Linked DNA regions of Rattus norvegicus. The protein of the gene in region 5 interacts with the protein of the main gene of each other region in a pairwise test. Links are inferred from orthologs where the notes say so. Each region holds a gene or a part of one and is shown on either strand. Other genes may lie near its edges.

What was found.
Region 1: the proteins of Hmbox1 (region 5) and Kat5 interact in binary tests that used the Homo sapiens proteins (3 or more experiments, as listed by UniProt). The two-hybrid records come from large-scale screens. The link is inferred for Rattus norvegicus from reciprocal best matches to the Homo sapiens genes HMBOX1 and KAT5.
Region 2: the proteins of Hmbox1 (region 5) and Wt1 interact in binary tests that used the Homo sapiens proteins (3 or more experiments, as listed by UniProt). The link is inferred for Rattus norvegicus from reciprocal best matches to the Homo sapiens genes HMBOX1 and WT1.
Region 3: the proteins of Hmbox1 (region 5) and Sh2d4a interact in binary tests that used the Homo sapiens proteins (3 or more experiments, as listed by UniProt). The two-hybrid records come from large-scale screens. The link is inferred for Rattus norvegicus from reciprocal best matches to the Homo sapiens genes HMBOX1 and SH2D4A.
Region 4: the proteins of Hmbox1 (region 5) and Asb7 interact in binary tests that used the Homo sapiens proteins (3 or more experiments, as listed by UniProt). The two-hybrid records come from large-scale screens. The link is inferred for Rattus norvegicus from reciprocal best matches to the Homo sapiens genes HMBOX1 and ASB7.
Region 6: the proteins of Hmbox1 (region 5) and Bysl interact in binary tests that used the Homo sapiens proteins (3 or more experiments, as listed by UniProt). The two-hybrid records come from large-scale screens. The link is inferred for Rattus norvegicus from reciprocal best matches to the Homo sapiens genes HMBOX1 and BYSL.
Region 7: the proteins of Hmbox1 (region 5) and Abitram interact in binary tests that used the Homo sapiens proteins (3 or more experiments, as listed by UniProt). The two-hybrid records come from large-scale screens. The link is inferred for Rattus norvegicus from reciprocal best matches to the Homo sapiens genes HMBOX1 and ABITRAM.

The regions. Positions count from the first base shown.
Region 1 is NC_086019.1:212,326,703-212,329,636, reverse strand, and holds part of Kat5 (histone acetyltransferase KAT5), read left to right. Parts: intron 1-719; coding exon of another isoform or gene 720-836; exon of another isoform or gene 837-1,598; intron 1,599-1,604; coding exon 1,605-1,745; intron 1,746-1,818; coding exon 1,819-1,912; intron 1,913-2,934. UniProt on the Homo sapiens protein: Catalytic subunit of the NuA4 histone acetyltransferase complex, a multiprotein complex involved in transcriptional activation of select genes principally by acetylation of nucleosomal histones H2A and H4.
Region 2 is NC_086021.1:112,063,314-112,067,345, reverse strand, and holds part of Wt1 (Wilms tumor protein homolog), read right to left. Parts: intron 3,101-4,032; coding exon 3,011-3,100; intron 2,210-3,010; coding exon 2,117-2,209; intron 283-2,116; coding exon 161-282; 3' UTR 1-160. UniProt on the Homo sapiens protein: Transcription factor that plays an important role in cellular development and cell survival. Recognizes and binds to the DNA sequence 5'-GCG(T/G)GGGCG-3'. Regulates the expression of numerous target genes, including EPO.
Region 3 is NC_086034.1:26,123,550-26,127,581, forward strand, and holds part of Sh2d4a (SH2 domain-containing protein 4A), read right to left. Parts: intron 2,304-4,032; coding exon 2,102-2,303; intron 1-2,101. UniProt on the Homo sapiens protein: Inhibits estrogen-induced cell proliferation by competing with PLCG for binding to ESR1, blocking the effect of estrogen on PLCG and repressing estrogen-induced proliferation. May play a role in T-cell development and function.
Region 4 is NC_086019.1:129,667,300-129,671,331, forward strand, and holds part of Asb7 (ankyrin repeat and SOCS box protein 7), read right to left. Parts: intron 3,003-4,032; 5' UTR 2,885-3,002; intron 1,941-2,884; exon of another isoform or gene 1,817-1,940; intron 481-1,816; 5' UTR 430-480; coding exon 219-429; intron 1-218. UniProt on the Homo sapiens protein: Probable substrate-recognition component of a SCF-like ECS (Elongin-Cullin-SOCS-box protein) E3 ubiquitin-protein ligase complex which mediates the ubiquitination and subsequent proteasomal degradation of target proteins.
Region 5 is NC_086033.1:43,253,731-43,257,762, forward strand, and holds part of Hmbox1 (homeobox containing 1), read right to left. Parts: intron 3,506-4,032; coding exon of another isoform or gene 3,503-3,505; coding exon 3,411-3,502; intron 3,191-3,410; coding exon of another isoform or gene 3,095-3,190; exon of another isoform or gene 3,086-3,094; intron 1,539-3,085; coding exon 1,401-1,538; 3' UTR 1-1,400. UniProt on the Homo sapiens protein: Binds directly to 5'-TTAGGG-3' repeats in telomeric DNA. Associates with the telomerase complex at sites of active telomere processing and positively regulates telomere elongation.
Region 6 is NC_086027.1:20,879,083-20,883,672, reverse strand, and holds the start of Bysl (bystin), read right to left. Parts: upstream 3,333-4,590; 5' UTR 3,265-3,332; coding exon 3,000-3,264; intron 1-2,999. Other genes in the region: Med20 (mediator of RNA polymerase II transcription subunit 20), read left to right, coding at 3,775-3,788. UniProt on the Homo sapiens protein: Required for processing of 20S pre-rRNA precursor and biogenesis of 40S ribosomal subunits. May be required for trophinin-dependent regulation of cell adhesion during implantation of human embryos.
Region 7 is NC_086023.1:76,299,214-76,303,991, reverse strand, and holds the start of Abitram (protein Abitram), read right to left. Parts: upstream 2,939-4,778; 5' UTR 2,721-2,938; coding exon 2,606-2,720; intron 1,650-2,605; coding exon 1,598-1,649; intron 1,116-1,597; coding exon 986-1,115; intron 1-985. UniProt on the Homo sapiens protein: Actin-binding protein that regulates actin polymerization, filopodia dynamics and increases the branching of proximal dendrites of developing neurons.

The DNA.
Region 1 (2,934 bases), on a different chromosome or scaffold from region 5:
TTCAGATCCCAGTGTGAGGAGTATCGGAAACAAAGGCTGGGTTAGCAGAGTTCAGAGGAAGCTGTCAGGAGCTTGGAGGTGTGTATGCCTAGAATTCCAGCACTCAGAGAACTCTGAGTTCAAGATTAGTCTGATATGAGTTCCAAGCCAACCTGAGCTATAAAATAAGAAAGACCTATCTCAGGGAACCAAAGCAAAAACCTGTAAGACAGCAAAGGTTAAGTGTAAAATTGGAGGCAGTTAAAGAACAGTGTGGCCCAGCATCCCGGAAGCTGATGCTAGGAGCTGACATTCAGAGCCAGTCTGAACTACACAGTAGGATCCTTTCTAAAGCTGAGTTAAAAAGGATCTTTGGTTGGGTGTGCTGGTACATCCTTTATTCCTAGCACTCCGGAAGCAGAGGCAGGCAGGTCTCTACTGGTCTATGGGGAGTTGTAGGCCAGCCAGGGCTAGAGTCAGATCTGTTTTGAAACAGTTTGCAGGTTAACCTGTGAGCCTGGACATAGCAAAGAGAACATATTTAAACAGTTGTAAGCAGTTGGGTTCAGAGATGCAGCCACCAATGTACCAGGACAGTGCATGCAAAAAGTAAAAAGAAAGGGAGAGGTGGTGAGGCAAGGTCAAAGGTCAGGTGTCAGGAACAAGATCAGTGGGGAGGAACAGGTTAGGGTTTCTTTAAGTGACAAGTATGGAGGTCCTTGAAATACACACTTTTTAAGGCCTCCAGGGTATGGATGGAGAGAGAGGCAGATTTCTGGATTGGTTTGGGAGCTCACCTTGAAGAGGAGCTACTTCTTCAAGAGGAAAGTACAAAGTTTCACATTGTTGTATATTAAGTGTGGTGTTCAAGTAGATGACCAGCAGTTGCAAAGCTGTCTGAAATTCTTCTAGAAGTCACATGTGATAAGACAACCAGTCCAGAGTTGTAGGGAAAAATCCCTAAGGCTGGCAGTTCCTTAAACCTCCACAGAATTGCAGACCAGTTCCCAGGAAGGGTCACCAGCTAGAGCGTTCAGGTTCTGACACCTACAGCCACATGGGTAGAATGTCTCTCCTGATGACTAGTCCATTTGGAAACTTAATAACTCACTATGTATCCCTAGCTGACTGACTTCAAACTTGTATTTCCCTCTGCCTCCTAAGAGTGGAGGTTACAGGCATTCCTGGCTTGGAAACTTTAAGTGGAAAAGAGGACAATGCAGGCCCAGGGCAGGCTTTGCTGGGGATGTGGAAGCTCTACAGCTCACCAGGGGCAGGGCAGGCAGTTGGACGTTAGTTTGTAGGCTCCTGGTCACTTAAGTAGTGCTTCTAAGCAGTGGTGCTAATCTGACTGGTGGGATGGGCCAGGGTCCTGGGCGGGAAGTTCAACCCTCTCAACTGGAACAGCAGGAAGAAGTGCTCCTCAGAGCCCTTGAGATGGCTCAGTGCATGGAAGGGCTTGTCACACAAGCCTGGCCACCCGAGTTTACTCTGTAGAACCTATGGTGGAAGGGGAATGGACTCCCATGCGTGTGCATGTTGTGTACAGGCACATGTGGCATAGTAAATTAACTGTTTAAAAACAGTATCCCAGAGTATTGACTGTGAGGTCTTTTCCTTTATAGAGTTACTCACAAAACCTGTGTCTTCTGGCCAAGTGTTTCCTCGACCACAAGACATTGTACTATGACACAGACCCCTTCCTTTTCTATGTAATGACGGAGTATGACTGCAAGGGCTTCCACATCGTGGGCTACTTCTCCAAGGTCAGCACTCACAAAGGCTGTCCCTCAGCCCTGCCCTGAGCCTGGCCTTCTTTAACCCACCTACTTTTTCCAGGAAAAGGAGTCCACAGAAGATTACAATGTGGCCTGCATCTTGACTCTGCCACCTTATCAGCGCCGGGGCTATGGAAAGCTGCTTATTGAGTTCAGTGAGTATGGCTGCCTGATCCGGTGTCTGGTAGGCTGGCAGGCCAGGCCTATGTGGGTGTTCCTTTGCACGCAGACAAACCAGTCACCAGGAGAGCTGCCAGAAATAAAGGGATACTCCACCAAGGCCTTTCCTCAGTTGACTGCCCTGTTTCCTGGAATAAGTTCCCAGCATCTACTTCTCTTTGGCTAAAGGCCTACAAGCCACCAAATTTTTCCCAAATTGGAATCGTGTGTTCTCATCTGGAGCTCTGAGCAACCTAAAAAGTCTGGTCAAGGACCAGTGGTTCTGTTACTAGGCATGCCCTAAGCGAGCCTTGCAGGCAGTAGGTTCAAAAAGGTATACGGCCACTAAAAGACAGACTCCTGTCCTGCTTCTTTGTAAGGCTAGTCTTTTAAAACCCAAGCGGGCTCTGGCCCCTTTTGAGGACACGGACTCTTTTTTTTTTTTTTTTCTTTTTTCTTTTTTTTTTCCAGAGCTGGGGACCGAACCCAGGGCCTTGCGCTCGCTAGGCAAGCGCTCTACCGCTGAGCTAAATCCCCAACCTTAAGGCTTTTTTTTTTTTTTTTCCTTTTTGAGGACACAGACTCTTAACTCTGCAGTCTCATCGTTTCCTGCTGTTAGTCCACCCAGTCCTGTTCTGTTCATTGAACTGTTCTCTGGCTCAGGAGTCAGGGAAGAAGCTTTCGCTTTTCTGCTGGTGAAAACACAGGTGTCTAACTTGTTCAGAGTCGGGTCTCTTTGGAGTACCTCACTGATTAGAGCAGGCGAGAGGAAACTCAAAGGGCAAACGAGATATACCTACTTTTGCCTAGTAGGACACAGAAATGCCAACAGATTGATAAAAGGGTGGGAGCAATCATTGAACAGGGCTCCTGACTATAGAGGTATATGGCATCCTGGGGATTCATGGGAGTGCTTACTGTGGGGATCCAGTAGCTCTCTCCCCTTCTGGGCTGCTGCTTTCCAGACACCAGCCTTTCCCGCCCTTTTTGTCCACGGGTGCTTGAGCAAAGAGGACGG
Region 2 (4,032 bases), on a different chromosome or scaffold from region 5:
TGATAGGACGCAGTCAAACAGGTGTGCTGTCTTGGAAGTCGGATGAAGATCCACCATCATGTCCTTTTGTAGGTGAGAGGGAGGAATTTCAAAATCAGATTTGGAAGCAGTTTGCACACTTTCTTGCCTGGGACGCTGGACTGTCTCCGGGTCGGACCCCTCAAAGCGCCAGCTGGAGTTTGGTCATGTTTCTCTGGTGCATGTTGTGATGGCGGACTAATTCGTCTGACCGCGCAAACTTTTTCTGACAACTGTGCCACCGACAGCTGAAGGGCTTTTCACCTGTTGACACAATTGCTAGTCAGAGACACTTGCAACAGAATGACTGGGCACAGGTTCAACTATCAAAGGCCCGCGTTAAATCACCACAGCCCGCCCTGGACTCCCATGGGTCGTTCCCTAAGCTAGCCAACTGGCTCTTCACTGGCAGCCTGGGATTAGCAATGCCTTCTGAGGGCTTGATAACCAGAAGCACTGTAAATATAACAAAATGGAAAACGTGGGAAATGGGAGAGAAGTCTAGTTTGTGGGAATCTCTAAGCAACTCATAAATTAAGGGGGTTTGGGAAACCTCTGTTTTATCTCTAAGGATGCTCTGTGACCTGTGCAAATGTTTCTGTTGCTGTCTAAGTAGGACCTGATCTGCAAGGGCCACTGAACCACCACCCTGGGTACTGTTGATTGATGACTGGCCAGCAATAGATCTAGGACCAAAGCTTTACTCTTTATATATAGATGATTTAAAATAAATCGTGGATATCAATTTGTATTCTTTTTGCTTCTTTTTAGTGCAGAGTCTGACTCAGAAACAAACTGTGTCAGAGCAGAGGGTCTGGTTGCAAATGATTAAGACTGCTCTGTCTTGGGAGCTCCCATCCTCATTGAAGACAATAAATACCTTGCGTGTAATGCCTATCACACAGGCGTCACTTAGAGGTATATGATCCTTGCCTTTCAAACAGCCTCACAAAGAATCATTATCTTCACTCCACAGATGCAGGCAGGATTTGAACCTAGACATGCCTAATTCAAAGCCCACTCTCATCCCTGTGTCACATCCCCAAGGCTTGCAGAAGAAAATACCACAGGAAACAAGCCCAGTGCTGCCTGGAGGATCTTCCGAGGGTACTGATAACCTGTCTGTCCTGAAGAGTGAGGACTTTCCTGGACACTTACAATAACATGGCTTCCTCACGTCCTGTTCACTGGCCATCCATTTTTCCTAAACTGGCTCCTCCACCTCCTCACAGGCACTTCTCAACTCCCTTTCATATTGGTCCTCTCAGCTGCACCCGGCTTGGCTGAGTCTGGCTCCCTCCTTAACTCCCTGGCTTCTCGAGATAGCTGTTTGAACTCAAGCTCTTTCTCCAAGAACAATGGGGCAGAGGTGGGGCAGTTGCCACTGAGGTTGCCTTTCAATTGCTCTGTGGCTCTGGGCAAACTATTTAATCACTCCCCACCACAGACTCATCTGTTCAAAGAGGATTGAAACCACCTACCTAGTCTTCTTCCAGGGATGCCGTGAAGATGAAGAGCTAATCTAAGAGATGGTTCTGCTTCCTAAGGAAGCAAATGAGCAAAAAGGGCAGTGCTATTTTCACCATGAATCTCATAGCCTTGGGGGCAAACACAGTGCTTCAGCAGCTAGAGGCTGCATCAATCCCCCATTCTCCTCCCTGTGCTGGTATATCCATGTGCTTGTGTTAGTCTGACAGAAACCTAGACTCCTCGTGGAGCTTTAAGTAAGTGGGGTACGCTCTCTGATCGGGTATGAAACTTAGGCTCTCGGTAGAATAGAATATCTTGAATTTCTGATCACGCTATCGGGTTGATTGTTCAGTTGGTAATACAGCAAACTGGGGACAGTGGAGACGACCTTATCTTTGCTGTGAATCCCCCTGGGCATTCTCTGCCCATCTCTTGCCTACCCCATGCTCTTTGACCCTTTCTCTGAAAAACATTATCATTTATCATATAAAGATAGCCAGACACAGCCATTCTCTGAATGGATTCTCAACTCTAGAACTTGCACACGAGTCTCTCGCATTGCAAACAGTTTCATTAAACAGTAGCTTAGAAAATAATGAAGAATAAATGTGAAGAAAAGTTTACGCACTTGTTTTACCTGTATGAGTCCTGGTGTGGGTCTTCAGGTGGTCGGACCGGGAAAACTTTCGCTGACAAGTTTTACACTGGAATGGTTTCACACCTAAACGGACAGAGAAGGTCTAGCCTCGGCCCTAGCAATGTGGGGCACAGTGAGACACATGAGGCCGGCTTTCTGGCAGCTGGAGAAGCCCGGCATATCTTTCACATCAGCCAGGTCTGCGTCTACTGGGACCTCATGCTTCCTTGATCCCCAGACTCAGCAGAAGCCACCTGATTCTGTACAGCAACCTCCAGGAGCTGCTCCCGACTTGGAAAAACCATTTCCTAATTACAAACATCCAGTTCTCGCCAGTAGACAAGTGTTAGAGACTGAGAAAGGTAGATCACTGCAAACAGGATCCTCGCCATTGCCCTGGTTCCTGACTGACCATCATCAGTCACCACAGTCTACCGCTGAGGGATCCTACAGCCGCTGTGGCTCTCGTCACGAACGTGAGATGTTTCCTTCCTCTTCTCCTTCTCCTTTGTAAAGGAAGACTTTTTATGATGTGTGTGTGTGTGTGTGTGTGTGTGTGTGTGTGAATGTATGTCGTGTGTGTGCATTGCCCTCAGAAGCCAGAAGAGAGTGCCCTATGGAGCTGTGGTGGCAGGCAGTGACGGGCCACCTGGTGTGGATGCTGGGGACCGAAGCTGAGTGCCCCGCAAGAACAAGTACTCTTAACTGCTGAGCCATCATCTCTACAGCCCTTCTTTTTAAAAGAAGTCTCCAGGTGAGGGGAAGAAAGTTGGGAAAATGGAGGTAGATCACCCTCTTGTCTGTGTTCAACAGAGAAGACAGTCACAAAATCGGCTCTAACCCAAGGGCCTGTGACTGCTGGCAATGAAAAGTGAACCTACAAACCTGTGTGTCTCCTTTGGTGCCTTTTGAGCTGGTCTGAGCGAGAAAACCTTCTCTCGCAGTCCTTGAAGTCACACTGGTATGGTTTCTCACCTTAGGGAAAACACATGCCATTCTGAGTACAGTGCTGGAAGGAAACCTCTTCACAAGGAAACCCCCCTAAATGCAGATGAAGGGATCCCAAAATGCCCAGAGCACTAAGGGGAGCTAGTTAGGGTAGTGCTGTAGACTTCTGGGAAAAGAAAATCCCACTTACACACATGCCCATGGACACAGGAAGGAGTGAATGCAGATACCCTGGCGAAGTTCCCTCACTGTGAAATGGAACCAATAATCTGACAACATCAAAGGGTCTATGAACAGATTAGACCAGACCGTCCAAGTAGAAGGAGCAGACTGGTGCCTAGCACTGAGGCGATGATCAGAAAAACACAAACATTAGCATGGACTATTTGGAGAAGCCAAAAAACCAAAAAGGTTTGTTTCAAAGTCCATGTTTGAATCGGAGATAGAATTTTGGATAGTGTGCCTTGAGGCCGGCCTTGTGAATGAACTGTTCTGTGTTTTATGGCCTGAAGATTTGGTGTTCTCTGCCACTGACTTCTTGTTCCTGGGACCAACATAAATGACTCGATGGTTGTAAGATTCCCCAATTAAACCAGAAGCTGAAAGAAACATTTAGCAAGATTGTTGTCCTTTAATCTGAACCAAGTCAGCAGTAGGATTGTGCAACCCTGGACTCGGGAAAGAAGAGCCCCACCCCTGTGTCCACAGGAAAAGTTCAGCCAAAAGCTGGGAGAAGAGCCCCCAAGAGTGCACTGAGCTTCTGCAAGTATCCCCACCTCCTAGAATTCTGACTCACTGGATTCTGGGATGGAGAGCTAGATACTCCAGGGTCAGTAGGGTCTTTCCATTGGTGGACAGCTCCAAGTTTCCTTTCACGTCTCAAAACCTCTGGTGCTTCCCTGGCTCTGCGTGTCTCTTGTAGCTGACCTCACTACTCCGAGCCCCCCTCACCCTTCATC
Region 3 (4,032 bases), on a different chromosome or scaffold from region 5:
CTCCCAGTTTGAAGAGGTTTCTTTCTACTAAAAGATGCTCTAGGAACAAGAAGGTAAAGGGAATGTGTCTGCAGACTAGAGAGGAAAAATTAGCAACAGCGCCATTTTGAAACCAACTCAGCATCAGAAGGACGTCCTGGCACAGATGGTTCTACTACAGAAGGCAGCGCAGAGGTGTAATAAATATTCGCCCAAGTCCTGTTCAACAAGCCACTAGGTGAGCAGGCTCTAAATCTAAAACAAAGAGATTGAATGAGCTACTGGAATCTTCCATGGTACAAATTAATGTGGCTCTTTGTGCTTCTGCTGGCAACAAATTGTGTATGCCATGAGTTTCATGGTACTTAACAGCTCTGCAAACATGTGTGTACATGTGTGCATGCTTGCATGTGTGTGTACACGTGCACACACACACGCAGACATACATGCATGCACACACACATATATATGCAAATATGGCTATGTTTTATTATTAATGGTATTCAGAGGATTTGAGAGAAAATATCTTACAATATTTAACTTTTCCGGAAGCTGACCTTGCATACACATTAGATTATTTGACAAATTCTCATGTTAGTTTTCACATTAGCTTCCTTTTCTCCACATAATCCTCAGAGAGAGACTAAAACTCCACATACGTGGGACAGCTAGTACCTGTCTTTCTCTCGGTTGGCTCTTGGCTAACCTCTGTCATAACTGCCCAGAGTCCCAGGCCCAGCCCTATCTATTCTGACACTCAGGGAGCTATTCTACACTGCCTTAAAAAAGAGCAAGCTGAGTACTCCTGACGGAAACTGTCTCCTACTCTCTAAAAGGCCACTCTCCTTGTCATCTATATACTGTGTCCTAAAAACATTATAGGAAAGACATTAGATGAACCATACCCCATGCTAGGGGCTAGCAAACCAGAAAGGCTTCCTGTGAGGCTCTGTAGCCAGAGTTACACTAGACAAGACCACATGTGGGAGCCCATGTGTGACCTGTTACGAAGCTCAGGAGGTGTATATTTCTGACGTTTTATTTTTACTTGTAAGGGAGAAAAATAAAACTTCATTTCCCAAACTGTGTGCTGTGTCATTTAGTGCTGGTCACCACATCTCAATCTGGAACCTTCAGTGGAGTAAGTAGAAGTGATTATTAAGTAGGGGAAATAATTTACTCTTGTGTTTCCTCTGAGGTCATAGTCCTCAGTTAGAAAAAAGAATGACTTAAACAATTAAAAGAACAGATTTTGTTCATTTGTTTGTTTGTTAAAACTCTTAACAGAGAAGTATTTTTAGTTTTTATTTCAAGAGACAATGCTAACCACAGTCTAGATCATGTGATCAATCACATGATCAATAATTGATCTTAAACATTTCTTTCTAAATGTGGGAATTTTAGGGTGGAAGATATAGCTCAGTGGCAGACTGCTTGCCTAACATGTGAAAGGCCCTGGGTTTGAACCCTACTACAAGCAAACAAATAAAAATTAGAATAACAATAATATTCTATATAAGTCAGTAGTTATAAAAAAGAATTTGGTAGTCAGTAAACACGAAAGATGCTGTTTTCTTCTGGATATCACTCTAGCTTTCTTTTTTTATCTTCTAGCACATGTTGTCCCTAGAAAGTAAAGTTACCTTTATGGCCAAATAAGAGAGATGCTTTGTCCCAAAATAGAGCATTTCAAAATTCTGAAAATATGATCTTGGCTCTGCCATCAAACCCTGACTCCAGCAATAAAAAGTAGTTCTGGGAATGAGTCTACCTGCCCCAGGATCCTAATTATTATTTTGGTGACTAGAGGCAATGTTGCTCATTAAACACTGTTCTGCCCTCCATGTTCCCCCTTTTCATTCCTGTCAGCCTGCTGCCACTGGTGAAGGTGGGGAACAGCAAGTCACCTGACATCTTCACCCTGCAGTTGGGTTCTAACTTTAGCCACAGTGGCTATCTTACAGGAAAGAAAGGAGTCAAGGAAGACTGGTTAGAGGCAAGCCTGCGTTGACCTAAGCAGTGAGCCAACACGAGCACCCACCCCATCCCATGCCCCAAGACACACAGCTCTAATTAGCCCATCCCAGGGCTTATGAAGGAAGCCATCTGTGCGGCTTCTTACCCTAAAGACTTTGGAGGGCTTCCCAGCGGCTGTAGGAACTGGGGCTTCGGAGGAAGAGGAGGTCTTTTGGGCTTCTGTGGACCAGTCAGTGGGTTCTGCAGCCCGTCGCCACTCCTTCCCCTTTGAGAAAGCCTCTTGTAGTCTTCCCGTGCTTGTTTCGCTAAGGAGCGTCTCTTCTCATCAGCTGCCTTAGATTTTCGCACTAGAAAGATAACAGTGTCTGAGTTAGTCCAATAGCCTTGCCAAGGGTCACATTCAGATCCCACAGAGACAGCAGACTCAGCCCTGCACCACAGTACACTGAGAAGGCTCCAGGCAGAGTTGGTTTTGTGTTCATATTAACTATCATTCCCAGTACCTACTATCACATTTTAAGGCCCCTATTGCACTCGCTCCAGAATTCCGATCTGCAGTTAGGAACTGGCGACTTACTGAGAAGGAGAGGAAAGGAACACAGAAGAGGAGGAGGAGGTTGTGGGGTAGAAAATGTATAGCAAGAGTACATTACCGGGCAAATACTAAGCTGTGAAGCCTAGTGGGAGGGACAGGGCTGCCAGAGACCAGTATTAAATCCCTGATTCAATTATGGTCAGGACGCAGTGCATCCCAAGTCACTAGCAAAAAACAGGAAGGACTTCTTGGTAGCAGGTGAGCTAGGAAAAAGGCACGGAGGCTGGTCGAAGGTCACATCCAGAGTCTATTATAGGTTTAACTAAATGTGAATTGGCCAGAGAGACAGAAAGTAAAGGGATTTTACCCGGAAACATGTGGAGAATTTCAGAACACCTCAGTAAATATACACAGGCTCCGCAATCTGCCTTTTAACATTAATTTCTTTCTAAAATAAATGGGGCTATGTTTTAGCCATAGAGTATTAAAGATTATTACAGGATGCAACCACCCGTTTTCATGGAGGACTTTTGTTTTCGTTTTTACAATTCAGACTTTATGGGCTAAATCCTGTCATGTTTGACTTTGAAAACACACTGAAAATATTTCATTGTACTGGAGTTTCAGGGCTTAGCACAGAAGGCCACAAATTGGATCTTGCAAATATTTTTGTTTTATCAAAATTTTTGGCATTTGTTGTAAAGGAAACATAGATCAATTCAGGACTCTGAGCCTCTAGAAAATCTTGTTACTTGGGTGTAGCCTCTCTACAAGTCTCAGGGGACTGTCAGTGGGTCTTCTCTGTTGATGGCAGGAAGACTAATCCATTCTCATACCTGGGTTGCCTGTCCTCTGTCCATCTGTTCTTTCTGGTTTGGCCCTGGCAGTACAAACTCCAAAGAGAGTCAGTGCTGGGTCAGAGGCAGAGATGCAGGGAAATGGTGCAAATATATCCCACCTGTCAACTCTGTGTGCTTTGTGTTACAATGTCATGTGTATGGTACTCTATAAGGAGAACTGACGTATGTCAGTTAAAAAAATACTGCTTAAAAGTATATGCACTACTGAGAACTTGGGGGAAAAAACAAAACAGAATAGCAAGAATTCAAATTCAAATAAACAATTTAATAGCTAACTTCTCAAAAAACAAAAAACAAAAAAACAAAAGCAAGGTTCACACGTTAATATGTTTCCTGCTCTCTTCCTTCATAATTCAGAATTTTTAAATGGTGATTTTTATGCTATTGATAATGTTTCTTCTCCAAGAAAGAGGCATCTTTTAAAAACTAGGAAACATTCTTCAGCGGGCTATTTTCCACAGCTGTGTGTAATTCTGCCGAGCAGAAACTCTCTCTAATTTAAGGGTACAGCGATGAAACCAAACCTTCCTGCTACTCAAGTCCCCGAGGAATCAGCATTTACTGGTAACACCTGAGTGACAACTCAGTGGACAGGTACTTCTCCAGGATGAGCTCTGGATGCCTCCCGGATGCTTTTGCACTAGAAGGCCCGGCTGAGACCCTGCATGGTGCTGCCGAGAG
Region 4 (4,032 bases), on a different chromosome or scaffold from region 5:
GCCTGACAATCTGCAGAAACTACATGTGCCAGAGTAAAACCCACTCAACAACTCAAAAAACTTAGTGTTTTGTTGTCAAACATCTTTGCAAAGAGGAGCAGATAAGACACTGAACAGCAATGCAAGCGAACCATTAAAATCCACGTGCAAACAAACGTGCACAAGTGCGTTTTCCACAAACGCCATTACAATTTTCTCCTCGCATCCAGTGAACTCACCTCCGTGTTCCAGAAACACTCGAACACACCTCTCCTTTCCTCTTGCTGCAGAGAAATGGAGCAAGGTCCAGCCATTGGCATCTCGGCCATTTGGGGAATAGCCTTGTTCCAACATCTTTCGTACTGTGTGAACATCCCCGGCCGCCACTGCAGCCTGAATCTGCAATTCTTCCTGGAGCTCAGGGTTCCTCCGGCAGTGGTGGTGTAACATCCTAGCAGAGTCTGCTTTTCACCAACCAGACATTAGGTCACGGGAGGCAGCCTTTCGGGAAGGGAGAGCACATGCAATTTAGAATCTGTCTCTCTTCACACTGTGCTCACTGACCACCACACAACTATTCGCTCCCTAAATCAGTATAGACATGGAGAGCAGCTCAACAAGACTGGCTAGCAGGCATCTGCTTAGACCTAAATTTCCCATAGCTGCATTAAGGCTATAAATTAATTGAAAGAGAAAGCGGGGCAGAAAACACCCACTTAACAGAAAAATCTTTTCTGCAGTCTTTTTGAAAACTTGAAACTCCATTGGTCACGACAGCTCTCTCCTGGTAAAGTGGACGGTGGTCTCAGGACGCTAAGATGGCTGCAGTAGGACCAGTCTTAGGAAGTCTGACTTACACGATGCACCACCCCGACGGAAGTTACAAACTACTCAAGGATTTTATCACAGTCTGAGTCAATAAATATGGAATAGCAAAAAACAGCCCATTAAAGCCTGGAGGAGGAACTGAAAAGGAGGGGCTGTCTCTAGGCCAAGTCTCTGACCCAATCCACATCAGCATCTTATTTTTAATACAAGGTAATAAAGCCTGGGGGGTAGCAGCTGAGCGAAGGAACTGGATAAAATAGATTATATTCACACATGTGCGTGTGTTTCTCAGTTTTCCTACCTCGGCTACCTGATCACGATGTTTGTCTTCTCTTCCCTGTCATATTCTTTTAAAACATTTTTTTCTAATTTCAGTACCAGAAGTTTTATTTCATAAATACTCAAAATAGCATGCTAAGCAACCTGTGGATTGACCACATGATGAAATTACGTCAATGAACACTAATGCTAAGGACCCCACATCTTCTGCAGGTCATGGAGAAGTGTGTCCTCAAACCCAGCAGACAAGAAGCTTGTCCATGCACACAGGGAAGCCCAAAGTAACATGGCTACTTCTCATGTGGGGGTACAAGCCTGTCTGCATACTTTGAAGCATTTGAGATAGACAGAGAAAGCCAGACTGACAAGATCTTAGGAAGACATTCCAAATGGGCTGCTTTGTCAGAAGCAATTAGACGAATCTCCTGGTTGGTAACCTCCATTTCTATAAGTAAATTTGCTTGAAAGAAAAAAAAAGTGATAAAGTCCTTTGAAGATATTCTGTTCTCATATGTAGGTTAGACATCCAAGGATAATTTTGCAACTAATACTTTTTCTTACAAAATTTCTCATCATGAACTAGAGAACACAAGAAAAGTAAGCCTAGCTTGGTGGAGCCAAAACAGGCTGGGAACACAAACATCTGATGTGCTTTTACATATAATAATGACATCACTATAGTCTCAGCGATATCGCCCAGTGATATAATTTAAAAATATCAAGCTATTACCTCAAATAGCTGTTTCCTCAGAGAAAATTGGAAAATGAGAAATTTCTTGATAATTTGTTCTCTTAATAAGCAAGTTTCCTTTTGATTCTTCACTTAATTACTTCCTTGAAATTCAGTCTCTTGGCTTAGAAATTTAACATAAAAAAAATACCTTTCAGAATGGGTTTCATGTTAGTTTCAGTGCTATAAGAGACTATAACAAAACTTACCAGCACACATTAATGGAACCCCTTCCTGTCCACTCAGACCATCATCTTTAGCAGAACGCTTCTGAAGCTCTGATTTATTTTACTATTCTTTTTGAGTCAGTCTTATTTAGCTCTGCCTGGCCTCCCAACTTCCTATGTAGCCTAGGTTGGCCTTGAGCTCTTGATCCTCCCATCTCTAGCTACCAAGTGTTGAGTCACAGGTACATGTCGCCATGTTGGCTCAGAGTGAGTTCTGTGGATAGTGTAAGTGTGGAGATACACTAAGGCGCCCTCCTCTATAGCTCTCCCTTACTCTTTTAGAGAGAGTCCCTCACTGAACCTCGGCTTTACCATTTCTGCTAGACAGGCTAGATAAGCCGTTATGATCCTCCTTGTCACTGCACTCTGGTGCTGGGGTGACAAGTGTATATCCCATGGAATCCCATGGAAGTTTTCATTCCTGACTTTTCCCTGAGTAGATGGGGATCTAAACTCAATCTTCATGCCTGTGCTAAAGCACTTTACCCACTAAGCCTTTCCCAGGCCCCACAGGTGTGTTTAATAGAAAATTATCTTGGCACCTAGAGAGGTCTCCTCTATAGGAAAAAGACTGAAACAACATCAAAAGAAACCTAGGTTTTTCTTTCAGTGCCTGCTACATTAGTTTATTCTTTAAATCACTATTTTGCCCATTCTTTTCTGTGCAAGTCTATTCTATTAGACTAGGGACTGAACTCAGAGCCTGAAGCCTGCTAAATGCACTCTATTACTAAGCTATAGCCCCAACCAACTCATTAACAGATTTCAAGAAGAAAAATAAAAGTTAAACAGGATTTTCCTCAAAATAGCCTAGGAGGCTGATGATCCTGGGTCATCTTACCTTATAGAAGAATGTCTCTTCTCTCGGTGGACAGGTTGTCTAATAACCATGGCGTGCATGCAGCATGGTAGGAAGGGTTCCCAGTGTACCCCGGCCTCAGGGGAGTAGTCTTCTTCACCTACAAACAAACCAATCACAATCATGGGCTTTCCTAAAGTAAGAGAGAAAGCACCGCTGTCTGCAGTCTACTCTCTGATTATACTTTCTGATGACTTTATGTTTCAGGAGTTTACAACAAACTGACAGAAGAACTCAGAGAAGGTTTTGGAGCACATGATCTTGTTGCTTACAACAATCTCTAGACACAATCAAGTATGATTTATTTAAGAGTCTGTGCTGCCCCCACCCCAAGCTTCTTAAAAAACAGTAAATAAAGAAAATAACAAATCCCACATTTGGAATTTGGCTACAAGCTAAGAATCTTGTCTTTTCTGCTGAGAATATCTCTCAGGCCTGCTTCCTTTACTTTTTAAGGATACCATCAGTCACCTGCTCTTTTTAAAGAGAACTAAAAGGGGAAAAAAATGTGTGCATTCAACACAGCAGCTGCCAGGGGCCAAGTGTAAAGTAGGTGAGTAAATGGGGCTTATGCCTTTGAATGGTGGCTCTTCCTATGCCTTCCAGGCACCCAGTAAAAACATTTACTTACACACAACAAGCTAGTTAAAACATTAACTAGCCAGAGGTTTTACTACCTTCTCTACTGAATTCTTAAAGAACAAAACAATAAAAACCCCACAATATCACAAGGAAATCACTCTAGCAATTAACCTACTGGGAGATCCGACACCCTTTCTGGAGGTGGGGGGCCGAGCCTTTAGAAGTTAAAGGTTCAGACATGGAAATGGACAGGCCATCTGATGAGCTGACCTGTGCAGGGCAAGAGGGGCAACAGGGGCTGATGGCTGTGCAAGGGGACATTAGAATGGTTCCCATCTGCCTTTTCTGCACTTGATGTTTTATTTTCCCCTTTCTGAAGCCTTTAAGATAGGCAAAGATGTTGGCCTGCACACAGAACTGAAGTCTGAGTGCAAACTGTGCCTATTATTTTCAAATAAATGGAGTAGACACGGTCAGAACAACTCCTTCAAAGCCAAGTATAAATACCACAGAAGAAACCTTGCAGAAACTAAGACTGAGGCAGGAAG
Region 5 (4,032 bases):
TAGATGACAAGGTGACCACAGGGTGACTTTATAACGCAAGTTCACTGTTTGGTATTTTGAGTTCTCAAAATGAAAAAAAGATTTATCAAATATAAATATCTTTAAAAAGTAACAAAAGTGCTACATATGTGATCAAGGAAAAAAATTCCATTAGTTACTGCCGCTTAAAGTAGATTAAACTACAAATATTACCACATCCATTATCAATATGGCTTCCAATTATTAAATAAATCGCCTGTAGCAATACAGCTTTCACACCTCCACAAGAACAGAAAAGGGAACACAGCAGGGACGTCCTGCTGTCCCACGCGCTCGACATGTAGGTGGCAATGTCCCCTGCTTTTTCTGCACCTAGCTAGGCAAGGATCCCCGTCTGTGACAGTCAAGTTGCCACGGTCCCCAGCAGAGTCCTAGCAACCCTTGGTGGGCCTCAGGTGACAGGTACAAAGCCTGCTTTCCACTCACTCTTGACCTCAGCTCTATACTTTCTGGTAGCAGGGAGGGGGCACCAACAGGAGGCAAAGCAACTTCCAAGGTAACTCCAATACTTCCCAGGCAGGCGCTGGCATCGCGCTGTGGAATGTATAGCGGCCCGAGACCTGGGCTTAGCGTCCATCCGACACTCAGCTCATGCTTTCCCTACTGCTCTCAAGCTGGGTTTTGCTTTTCAGAACTTGGTTTTTGTCTTTTTTGTTTTAGAATCGTGGTCCCAAAGGCGGAAGGCAGTATATTATCTACTAGGTCACACAGCTTGTAAGACAGAAGGATGTCTGTGTTGGGCATTAGCATTAACCAAGATCTGAGCTTGGGATTCCAACGACATTCGTAACACAGCACCCAGAGAAGTAGAGCCTGGCCACACTGTGACAGGAGGCGGCTTATTGCAGCTGAATCAGTGCGTCTCACGCCGAGGTGGGGCTCTATGTTCCTTGTGCTCCGCTCCACGGATCCTTGCCAGATGGTGTCTGTCGGCCCTGTGCCACTGCCTCAGCCTGCATCCCATCAGTCTTAGGGCGGGGACGGGGTACAGCCTAGTTTTACAGGAATCTAAAGGTACCCAAGATTTTACACAGAGCCTAATATTTGAGAACTGAGGGTTATCTAAATACTTGGAAGCACTTTCTTGGAATGCTAAGACAGAGCAGCGAGATTTGTCTTTTCACCTCAGGGGCTGGGAGAGGGAGGTTTGTCTGTTTGCTTCTTACTTACTGGAGTTTGAATACTGAGAGAGTATATGCAAAGGCTGAATGAGGGCACCATGCCATCTTCACAGAACAAGACCCTAATGGCTACCTGACATACAAGGAACTGTAAGTTATACTGTAAGAACACATGTTAAGGACCGAGGAAAGTCTGCTAAGGTGCTACGTCTAAACTAAGTTAACTGTTTAACTCCCTGATCAGTCATCATCCAGGGCCTCTGTCTTGATTTCATTGGCTCCCTGCCGGGCCAATGCCAAGATAGTGTGGTTGACGGCCGCCATCTCCACAGCTAACGAGATGGGATCTTGGTGGTCGCTATGGCTCGTGCTGTCATCCTAGACGTGCAGAGATAAGAAAGGAATGTTATTGGTTGGCTGGCAGCAATCTCAAGCTCACAAAAAGGCATGCAGGGGTGCCGTGCGGGGGACAGAGCATCTGTGGAGAAAATGGCTGAGTGCATCTCATGGTGGAGGTGAACTGTATTTAAGTAGACACTGAATGGACACAGGTCCAGAGACTTTCAATTTTTTGTGACTCAATAAATAAAAAGGATATAAATGATTTGTTTTGTTCCTTTTTTCGCACAGTATTTATTCTACCAAAAATTGCTAGTGCTGATCAAAGCTGAAGTGATCAAAATAAACTAATAGTCTGGATTTTTCTGTTTGCCACAGATACAACAGTGACCTAGTGTACTCCTAAATCCACAAAGCTACTGGGACCCAGTGTGTCCCTGCTGAGAACAGTGGAGGAAATGTAGAACAAGCACCTTACAGATCAGGGACGGTCTGCAGTTACACAAGTTGCAGGTGCAGACCCCGACTGAGAGCTAAGTGAAGCTTTCCACCCTCTAAGTCGCACACAGTAAACAGTGAGGCTGCTGGTGGGCGTAGGGACACACGCCTGTGACCCCACCATGCCCAGGCCGAGGCAAGAGACTGACTGCAAGTTCCAAAACCAAACCAAGGCAAACCCAGACAATCGAGGAATAAAGCAGTGATGGAAGTTCTCCCTGCAGGTGTGCTGGGCACTAAAGGCGCCATCACAGATCTGGGACGGATCTCACCTGTCTCATCTTCAGGGGACTCTGTACCAAAGAGCTTTGGAAAGAAAAGTCCCTTGCGGGAAGCATGTGATGTGCTGCCCTCAGGGCATCTGCAAAAAAAGGTGGCAATGATCCATCCATGTGGGTCTGCTGACAAACGACAGGGATGTTTCCAGAAAGAAACAGCACTCCCCCGGGCGGAGGGTGGAGCTGTGCTTGGAGAACTGGGTCTCTTGGGGGCATAATCTGCTGGGACACATGGCTACTACTGTTTCGTTCTGGCTTTTAGACACTAGCCTTTGGGATTTAAGAAGGAATCTGCAGAGAATCACACATGTTGCTGCAATAGTGGATACGCGGAAGCTGAGGACAACTGAGAATGAAGAACATGGCGGCTGAGGACAAGGAAAACACCAGAAGAAAGAGTCTAGGGACAGGACCGTGTGTTCTTTGAATTTCCCAAGTGGAAATGAAATTTGATCCTATAGAACATTTTAATGAAATCTGTCAACATGTTTGCGGGTGTGGGGAATTCCCCCAATCACAGTTATCGACTTATTCCATGCAGTGGCTACAATTAAATACACTTTCCCGAAGCAAGGCAGAGCACAGCAGGATGAGATGAGAAACCATGCAGGTATTGCATTATGACAGGATGAGTCAGTGTCCAGAGAGACTCTGGTTAGCCACTCCTCTGGGCACGAGGGTTCCCAGTGTAATGGGGACTGGAGTGGGCGGGGCCTTTTGTGCCTTCATGGTCCACGGCAGGCACGGTCACAGCTGCCCGCATGCCCCTAAGTGTTTCTCAACACTGTGTGTGTGAGTGTTGTAACTTGCTTGTTTGGGTCAGATCCTCCTGTCTTCTTCTACCTTCTCTGCTTCTCTGCCTCCCTCTGAACTTCTTCCCTCCTCCTCCTCCCCATTGCGTGCTTGCCAAGTGTCCTGTTGTGTGACAACAAACCCATAGGGTGGATAGAGATTACTCACAGATTTAACAGGACAACAGAGTCTTACCACATTCCTTTCCAAACGCATGAAAATCTAACTAGACACATGAGCAGAGTGGAGGGACACCAGCTGCTCCCCGGCCCCATACAACCACCCACAGACTTGAGTTGCCACTGCCCCCCACGGTAACCAGAAGGCTAGCCCAGCCACCCACCTGCTCAGAGTAGTCGTTCCCGTCCACATCGTCGCTGTTGGAATGGCCTCCTGGACTCTGTACATCGATCCCATGACTCTCCAGGATTGCTGCTTCTTCGAAAAAAGCAAATAGATCCCTAAATTATCTGCTGCCTCCACATAGTGGCTGCACATGATTTTATGGTGAGGAAATCAGAACATGGTTAGTCGCTAGTCATCTTTCAATGGGAGAAGTTCAACTCTGTGTAGCTTGGGGTAGAGTCCAGCTTCAATGCACAGCAAACTTCCCACTGGTTAAGTACCAAGCGGACTGTTGGGCACTTCACAGAACTTACTATGTTAACAGCTGTCCTGGCGGGCAGGGCAAGGCATCTGACAAGTGGAATGGCAAGTAAATGGCAAGTGAAATGAAGTCATACTTCTCCTGATGCTGGGCATCAAAACCAGGTCCTTCCTTTCTCCCTCTGTGCTATCTCAGCCCCCGAAAGAAGCTTAAAAGAATCTTTTATCCAACCTCATCCCATCCATTCTGACCTCGTACTTTTACTATAGTTTTGACTGGGATTTTCTTCTTCGTTAGTTGAACACATGTTCCTAGGGCACTGTCACATGGCCTTCGCAGTCCTCTAGCTTTACTGTTA
Region 6 (4,590 bases), on a different chromosome or scaffold from region 5:
AGGCTGAGGGCTAGTCAGTGGCACCAGACTCTGATTAACCAATACATTTAAAAGGCTGACTTAGGTAGTCAAGGATGACTTAGAGGTCCTTGTTCTCAGGCCTCTACTTTCCAAGTGCTGGAATCACAAACACACACCACAATGCTTAACACTGAGCTCCTGATGTTGGGATAAACGCTCCTGTTCTGTGTAAGGTTGTCTTTGAATTATTCACACACTGATTTCTGTAACAGTGGAGACTTGCAGTTGTTATTGTTATTTTTGTGAAGCATCACCTGTCCAGGTGTTGTATAAACAACATCTTCTCTGTCTCCGTCCCATTGGTTTAATCAGGAGCTGACTGGCCTATAGCAAAGCAGGAGAGGATTTCCGGCAGAGATAGGAACTCTGGGAAAGAAATGAGATATGAAGGGATTTGACAGCCAGAGGAAGAAACACATACAGGTACTGAGGAGTGGAAATGAGCCATGTGGTTCCGTGTACACTAGTATTAATGGGCTAAGTTGTATAAGCTACTTGGGAACAAGCCAGCTAAGGCCAAGCTTTCATAATAAAATGTCTCTGTGTCCTTACGTGGGCGATAGGTGGATAGGTGGGTCAAGCCATTCCTGACATATCCTGACTTTTATTTTTTTAGAGACAGGGTCTTGACCATGTAGCCTTGGCTGGGTGCTTCCTGAGTGCTGGGATTAAAGCCATGTGCCAACATACCTGTAGTGACAAACACCACACACACCTGGCAAGGCAGCTGGGAAAGAGCCTAATGGGCCAAATTAGCTGCAGTGTTACAGAGCAACAGGTCATGTGCTTGGAAGTGGACTAAGGGTACCTAGAGCTCAAGGAGTCCACAGAGCACATTCAGGGAGAGCCAAGGGTGTTTGTTGTAGATTTACTTTAAGTGTGAGCGGTGCCTGCCTGCATGCCTGCATGTATGTCTGTGCACACGCGGGCCTGGTGTCTAGTGAGATCCGAAGATGGCATCTGACCCCTTGCCACTGGAGTTACAGACAGCAAGCCTGACATATGAATGCTGGAAACCATACTCGGATCTTCTGCTAGAACAAGTGTTCTGAAAAGCTGAGGACCAATTCTCAAGAGTTTTCCTCTGTTCTCTACACACATCATGACACGCACACAAAATACATGTTAAATAAAAGAAGACAAGTGCTATGAGATAAGTAGGGGAATAAAAGAGGTTAGGAGACAGATGCTGACACTTGTGGGGTGTTTTGTTGTTGCTGTTGTTAGTTTTTTATATATGAGTGAACCCTTGCATCATAGAGGCCAGAGGGGAATCTTGACTATTATTTCTCGGGAGCTGATGACCTTGTTTTTGAACCAGGGTCTGGCTGGGACCTGGGGTTAGCTGATTAGGCTACACTGGTTGCCCAGTGGGTCCAAGAGATCTGTCTTCAACACTGTGGGACTACAAGCTGTTGTAGGTGGAAGTCAAGAGTCTCAAGTCATGTTCCTTACCAGCTGAATTATCTTATCCCCTCCTTACTTTGTGATTAGACCTGAAACAGAGGCAGATTAGATAGGATTCTGTTGATCTCTAGCTGTTGAATGGACCACAGAGGTTACAGAATACAAATTATGATGCTCTCCCAGTGATTCAGGGGAGACTGTGGTAGCTAAAACAGGAGGCGTTCCAAGTTAATGGAAAGTGGTCTGGCTCTGGATATATTCTAAAGACACAACCATCAGGATTTACTGTGAAGTGAGAAAGAGAACACTGGATTGTGCCTTGAGCAGTGGAAGGCTAACATGCTAACAAACTCTGTGTAGCCAACAGAGAGCAGGTTTGGGAAGGAAGTCAGAACTTCTGTGTGGACACATTCAACTATCGACAGCTACCAGTCTTCAACTTGGAGCTGTCAGGAAGACCACTGGAAATAAAGATGTGAGCCTCTTGGACGAACTACGTACGTGGGAGAAAAATCTGGAAGCAGCCATCAAACAGATGGCTTCAGAGTGAAATTTGCTGACAGCATCACGGAAGGATCTATAAGCTCAAGGCCTGCCTTGGTCACGGCAAGTTCAAGTCCAGCTTGAACAACTGAAGGAGACCCAGTCTCAGTTACAAAATGTTTTTAAGGGCAGGCGTGGTGCCAACCACCTATAATGCCACATGGAAAACAGAGGCAAGATCAGGAGTTTAAGGTCATCCTCCCCTACAGAGTTTGAGGCCAGCCTGGGCTCCTTGAGCCCTTACTTCAGAAAAGCTGCTGTAGCCCTAAAGCCACATTCAAACACTGCTTTTAGGACAGATGGGAATGGAAGATTAAGCAACTGGAGGTCAACGACAGTTCCTCCCCAGTGAGACAGATTACCAAGCATCTACCCACCCATCCCACCCCACTTTTAGCTTCTGAACAATACTCGTTCCCCTCCCTCATCACTGGAACACTTCCCACTTGCTTTTCAGATCTTACTAGAAGGACGTGAAACCTGGGATACCCACCATACAGAATTAATGTCCATCTGTTTTTGTTTAAACAGAAATATCTTTCCCCCTCTCTTGAGAGATAGGGTTCTATCATGTAATGTAGTCGAGGTTAATCTGGAATTTACTATGTACTCAAGGAGGCCTTCTGCCTTGCTTCTGGAGTGCTGGCATTACAGGTGAGCATCGCCACTCCTGCCTGGAATATATTACTCTAATTATCTATTTAATGTGTGCCTTGAGCTACACTTCCGGTGCCATCAGGAGTGATGAAGATCTTATTTCTGGATCAGAACTGCCTAAAAACTTAACACAGCTCAAAGCACTATGCAGGCAGCCCACAGATACTTCAAACGCACAGAGAATAAATAAATGCTAGAACTGGTGTGAGAGATCACATTCTGTTGGCTTAAGTCTGGATCCCGAAACCCAGGAGTGGAAGTGAAGGACCACGCGGGAAAGTTAAGCCGCCTACTCTTTTTAATTCTAACCCAGTATTCCGATGGAGAGTATCAGACCGGCCCAACTCACCACTCCACCCCTTGTCACTCACCCAGCCGCGTGGCGCGCTCTCGCGGTTTTGCCGGCCGATCTCCAGTCGCGTGTTCAGTCTCGAGCTCCTCCTGCTGCTGCCGGGCTTGTTGCAAAATCCGTCTGCTCAACCGGGGTCCCACATACTCTTCCTCCTCTTCGACCCCGTGTCTCCGCCGTTTTTCTCGGGTCCCCGCACGCACTGCGTCCCCAGCCAGAATCTGCTCCGCCAGAGGTGCATGTCTCTCTTGATTTCTGGCCCCACGTGTCACCTTTAATTTGGGCATTTTTGTCGAAAAACTTGCCCACAAAGTTTACACGTGTGAAGCCGGCTAAGAGACGAGACTGCGCTTGCGCCTTGTATTCCGGTCTCCAAGAGGTCACTGAGGCATCACAGTGCCCCCCAGCGTTCGGAGGCCGGAAGTTCCTCATATATCGCCATCTCTAGAAGAGCTTCGGGGCTTGGAGCAGGAGTCTCCAAATTCTCAGATAATCTCACTGAAAGAGGTGGATGTTCGAGTCACCTTTTCCAGAATTCATGAAAGTAGCCTAGGGCGTGTTGTCAACCCCTTGTATGTTTTGGGGGCGGAGCCGGGTCGATGACGTACTAGAAATGTCACCGCTGGTGTATCCAGAGATGCCTCTCCCTGTGGGCGTGTCGTCCTGGCGCTCAGTATTTACGCATTTCCGGAGGCCGGTCAACGACCGCTTCCTGTGTTTAGGGGGCTGCCTCTCGTGGGAAGGTCTGGATTCTCTGAGTTTGAGTATTTGGCAGTACCACCTTTTGACCCTTCGCCATGGGAGTGACGTGGTAGGACTTGAAGGGCTTCTGCGGGGGGGGGGCTGTGGGGTCGTGAAGGTGTCTGTGAGCCTGTAATGGCCCGGGGAGGGGGATTTTGACCGAGGTTCTCGGTTCCTCGAGGGCTGACCAAGATGTCCTGGGGTTGTGTGGATCAGGGGACACCCGAGTGCGGGTTCTCCCTTCCCAGGCATAACAATTTGGCAAAGCAAGCACTTCATCCCAAGAACCCGCCAAGAGTTGTTGGACCTTCTTTTTCTCGGTACCTCTTTCTGTCCTTGAGGCCTTGTCCCGTCGCAACTAGAATCCAGCGGTTAGAAATAAGGTTTCTAGACTAGGAGATATTCGGAGGAAGGGATAAAAAGGGGCGCGAGGAGAAAGTGACTTGTGTATTCTGCTTGCAGTTATAGCACCTGACTTTGAACTGGCCACTTTAAGATATTGGGGCTAGTGACAAAGGTAGGGGAAAGGAGCTGTTGGGAGTTTGGAGATCGGGGTACCAGGCATATTAACTATTCATGAACCACTCCCTAACGTATTTGAGACAGTTTTTTGAGCAGGGTTTTCTTTGTGAGTAGCTTTGGGAGGCCTGTAGATCAGGCTGGACTCAAACTCACCGAGATCTGCCCACCTCTGCCTCTTGAGTGCTTTGGTGATGGCATTTGCCACCAGCACTTGGGCTTGAGACAGTTTTGATCGACTTTTATCTTAAACATGTCTTAAGTCTCACTTGAAAAAAAAAAAGAGGCAGTCGGTAAGGTTTGGGCACCGTGCTTTTGTGGGTATTAATTTCAAAGTACTAGACCTCAGCACT
Region 7 (4,778 bases), on a different chromosome or scaffold from region 5:
ACAAACTCAGGGGAATCTCTGAGTTTGAAGCTAGCCTGGTCTACACATCTAAGTCCAGGCTAGCCAGGGCAACAGTGAAACCCTGTCTCAAAAATGATGACAACAACAAACTAAAAATAATGAAAAGAGCCCTATCTTTTATATTAGAAATTAATAGGTAAAGGAACTTTACATGGTTTACTGCTAGGATTTTTCTAACTAAAAAATAAAACCGGTGGGCTGGGGAGATAGCTCAGAAGGTAAGACTATTTCCTGCTCTTAGGAAGGACCCAGGTTCAGTTCTCAGTACCCACACGGTAGCTGACAGTTACCTGTAACTAGCTCTAGGGCATTTGACAAGTTCCCCTTACCTCTGCAGGCTCCCGCACACACGTGTCACAGACACATACATAAAAATGTTTTAAAAAAGTTTAAATAAACCCAACTCCTTTCACTATTAGTACCACATTTTAACACAGTTCCTGACAGTATGTATGGTCATTGTTTCAGATACTCTGGGAGATGGGTACACCTAGGGTAGTATGACAAATATCTCTAAACAGGGAATGAGTATGCTTTATGCACTGCTTTCTTTTTAAGAATTTTTCCTACAGTGAACATGGGCAGCTGAAGCCAAGATTCTTTCTTTTGTTTTTGAGAGTTTTACATGTAACCTGGTACTCACTGTATAGCCCTATATCGCCTCACCCTTGCAATTATGCTACCTTAACCACCCAAGAGGTGGGATTGCAGGCCAAGGCCAAGGCCCATCTTCCATCTCATCCCTTGAGGATAAGAAGAATGGAGGGAAGAACCTACTGATAGACACTATACATCTTGATACACTTGTGTGTGGGGGTGTGGGGTGGAAGTGTATAGCATGTTTTTACTGAAAACCTACATTGAACTGCTAGAAAAAGTCTTATGGCTGACTGGATCCATCATAGTATGAATATAGAAAATCTCAGTAGAAAAGAAAAAAAATCACAGGATTACAGAAACATACCCGTTTAAATTTCCCAGATACTTTGTTCTGAAGTCTGCTACAATTGTTACTGATCTGATAGGAAATACTTTTAATAGTTTTGCCACTTTGAAGAACGGGATGAGATCCTGCCAGTGTGATGACGCATATTCTACAAGGAGAAAAACAGTCAATCCTATGTTGTGGCATGGCGGCCAGAAACCTCCTCCTGTAACAGTATTCCTGCTGAGGGTGACTATCCAACCTGACCGTTGTTCAGTCCAGTTATCTCTGCTGTGATTGGAACATAATACAGAAAAGGAGAGAATAGAGTTGAATCTCCTTCCCAGGAAAGGGAGCAGTACAAGTCTTTAGTAAGCTAGGGTAGCAGAGAAGCATGGCAAGACTGTGGACACAGAACATGACAAATGCCTCCACAAGGAGCCATTCTATAGGTCCAGCAGTACAGTGGTTGGTACAGGTTGGCTAAGCAGTACATGACCCAACAAGACATGTTCTTCCCACCACACTCCTATAATATCATTTCAACACTGTAGAAGACAATTTCATGAATGCTCAAAACCAACCCAAGACCATACCAGACTAACTACCAGAAGGACAGTGTTGATAATTTCTAATTCCTGGTTTGCTTACCGGTTGGAGTGCTGGAGTATACAGTGGTCCTCACAGGGTTTTCCTTTAACATCTAGAGGAATAAATGAGTTGCTGGTTGTTGAATTAGTGTTTACTATTACCATGTGATTACCATAGTTCATTATGAAGCTGATCACAGTGGTCAAAGTAAATAAAGGCTATTAAGTAGTTTAAATGGCTTAATCCAGATAGAATCCTTTATTCAATGTTAAGGCAGGTAAGATTATTAACTTCTCCATCTTCTCACTTTAAGATGAGACCTATTATTTCCATTAGAGAAACACTATTATAAGAATCACGTTGCTTACATTGTGGTGTTGTTTTGTGGGGCTGTCTTGATGTTATAAAAAAATCACATTTTTGGAAAATTCAGTCCTAAAGAGAACTAGGAAGGTTGCTTATCCTAAACGCCGTGTGTGGGCATACCAGTTTCCCTGAATTAAAAAGGCTAAGGTAGAGGCTAGAGGAGGGTCCCCAAAAGTGGTATTGGTATTTTCTGGGCACAAAGAACACCAGCGAAACCTACTTCAAAACGTCCAGTGGACAATATGCACGGCTTCTTCTTTTTTTTTTTTGGTTCTTTTTTTTCAGAGCTGGGGACCGAACCCAGGGCCTTGCGCTTCCTAGGCAAGCGCTCTACCACTGAGCTAAATCCCCAACCCCCACGGCTTCTTCTTAACATTAGATGTTCCTTAACATCTCTTAATGTTCTCTCCACGCCTAAGGTTTCTTCCCGACTGGGCGTAGGATTGATCCTTCCAAGCACACAAACACTTGGCAGTGTGTGGAAGCCCAGATATACTAACGCTGAGTTCCTTAGTTTAGTTCACGTCCTTTCCTGCCAACAACCCGCATATGGCACTGCACTTCCCACGTCGGAAATAGAACCTGTAATCCTGAGACTAGGAAACTCAAGGAAGAGCACAGGTGGCTTACATCGCGTGGCAGAAGTACCTGCGGCATCCACCCTGTGCGGTAGAGCAGAGCTCACCACCATTCCGCACTTACCCGCTTTATACCAGCGAGTGAAGTATCGATCTACAAGGGAGGGTGCTGGGGGTTCGGTAGACATGACTACCTCTGGCGCCACCACCCCGGCTTCGGGGCAGGGGAGCTCTTCCATCCCGCTGGTCCAGGAGAGTACTTCCGGCGCGTGGTAACGTTGTGCACGCGCGCGCCCGCGACTCCCCGGCCCGCAGCCGACCTCCTTCCCAACCCCAGTCACTTGCGCTGCTGGGCCAAAGTCCAACTGTTGGGCAAATACAACTGGGCGTCAAAGGGCTGAGGGACAACAGACAGCAAAGTCCTTCTGTCTCTACCAGGCTAGGACCTCGGATCTACAGAGGCGGTGCATCTGGCCACACCCACCTGGTGACGTCAAGTTAGTGCGTCTCGTGGGTGACACCACGTCTGCGCCGCCTTTCTTGTGCTACCTGGCGGGTTTCGCTCATCGGTGGTTCGTGTCTCTTGTTTCCCGTGTGCTTTGGCGTTTCCCTTCCAAACCCAGTGTACCGTGAGGGTTCGGAGCCGCGCACTGAGGCGAGGGCGCAGTTCCGCTAGGGCGTTGTAGGTGAGCATTCGTCCGTTCCAGTCTGAGCTGCTTTGTGCGGCCTGGTCTTGCGGGCCAGTTCTGCCCTGCTGCAGGGAAGATGCACGCGCCTCTGTCTGCGCGCGCGGGCGGGGCAGCGTGGACAGCCTCTCTCTTCGAATTTCGGATGTTTTGTGTATACTTTTGCTCCGGATCCAACCTGGGGCGCTGCGGGACACAGCTGCGGGGGATGAGGGTCCTGTTCCCCAATTGCTGGTTTCCTTGCAGAATATAGATAAAACCTCTACCAGCTAATTGGTTAGTTCGTTGTGAAGGTGATAGGTAATAGAGGCCTTTGTGCTGTGCTGCGGATCCTTTCTCGCATTTGGGTCATTTCTGTGGAACAGTGTATCTCTTGCTTTCCTAACTGGTTTGCCTAACCCGGGATTTCTGTGATGGCAGTGATTGTGTAGTCTTTTGTTTCTAGGGCCTAACATTTGGCAAGTTTTGATGTAAGTCACATAACGGATCTTAGGTATTGTGTAAAGGATTCGTTTGTATGTTGAGAACCATGATATATAACCAGCGAATACCTCTATGTGTAAGTGAAAGAAAAAGAGGCGTAGGCAAATTTTAGCTTGTGGAAACAGAGATGACAATGAGTCCCAAGCCAGGATAGGCTGTTATTTGATAAGAGATCAGCAGGTTCTCTGTTTTTCAGGTTGCATTTCATGTGCATGTAAGGGTCAGCTTATGATAATATCAGGAGATAGTGAGTGATAGTGAGTTTAATGTTCAGTTTGGACTTGTTCAGTTACAAGGTATATAGGTTTATCTAATCTTCCCTTTAGTGAGCTATCTAAGCCTGAAGGTAGGGGACCACGGGGAGAAAATGGAGCAGTGGTCAGAATTTTAGGACATGATCAAAGTTGTATGAAAGGACTTTTTGGCACATGTGTGGATGGAGAAAAGTTGAATTCATGGAACCCAGGGAGGTGCAGTAGGAGGTGCCAAAGGAAGGCTATTAGCAGATTATGATCCTACAATCATTTGGAAAATACTCTTTTCCTAACTTGAAAGCACTGAGAAAAATACAGGGCTATGTAACTCCAAAAAGTTAAATGAGTGAGGAGTGTTGGAATGACAATTTAGAGAAGTCAGTGTTCATGCTAAAAGAATTGTGGCATTAGAGAGACTAATGAGCTTGCCTTTTATCATGTGCATGAAGTGGCTTCGGAGGCCAGAAGAGGGCATGGGACTCCCTGGAGCTGGAGTTATAGATGTTTGTTAGCTGCTGTGTAGGTGTTGAGAACTGAACTCAGGGCCTCTGGAAGAGCAGCCAGCACTCATAATAAACCTCTGAGCCATCTTTCCAGACCTGACCCGAGCTATTCTTTTAAAAACTCAGATTGCTTTGCTGTGCTTTATCAGTCAGGGTCCAGTCAGAAAAGTAGAGGCCACACAGTATTTCAGCAGGGTTTATTATGAAGAATTATTTAAACTGCTCTAGGAGGAAGGAAAGGAAAAAGTGAAAAGCAAGTAATTTAGAAGGTAAGCTGAAGGAAGCAGTTCCCACGGGAAGGGAGCAACACTAGGGCAGATGTCGGCATCATCAGGCCCTAACACCTCATAGAAAGGCCCTGTAACACTGGG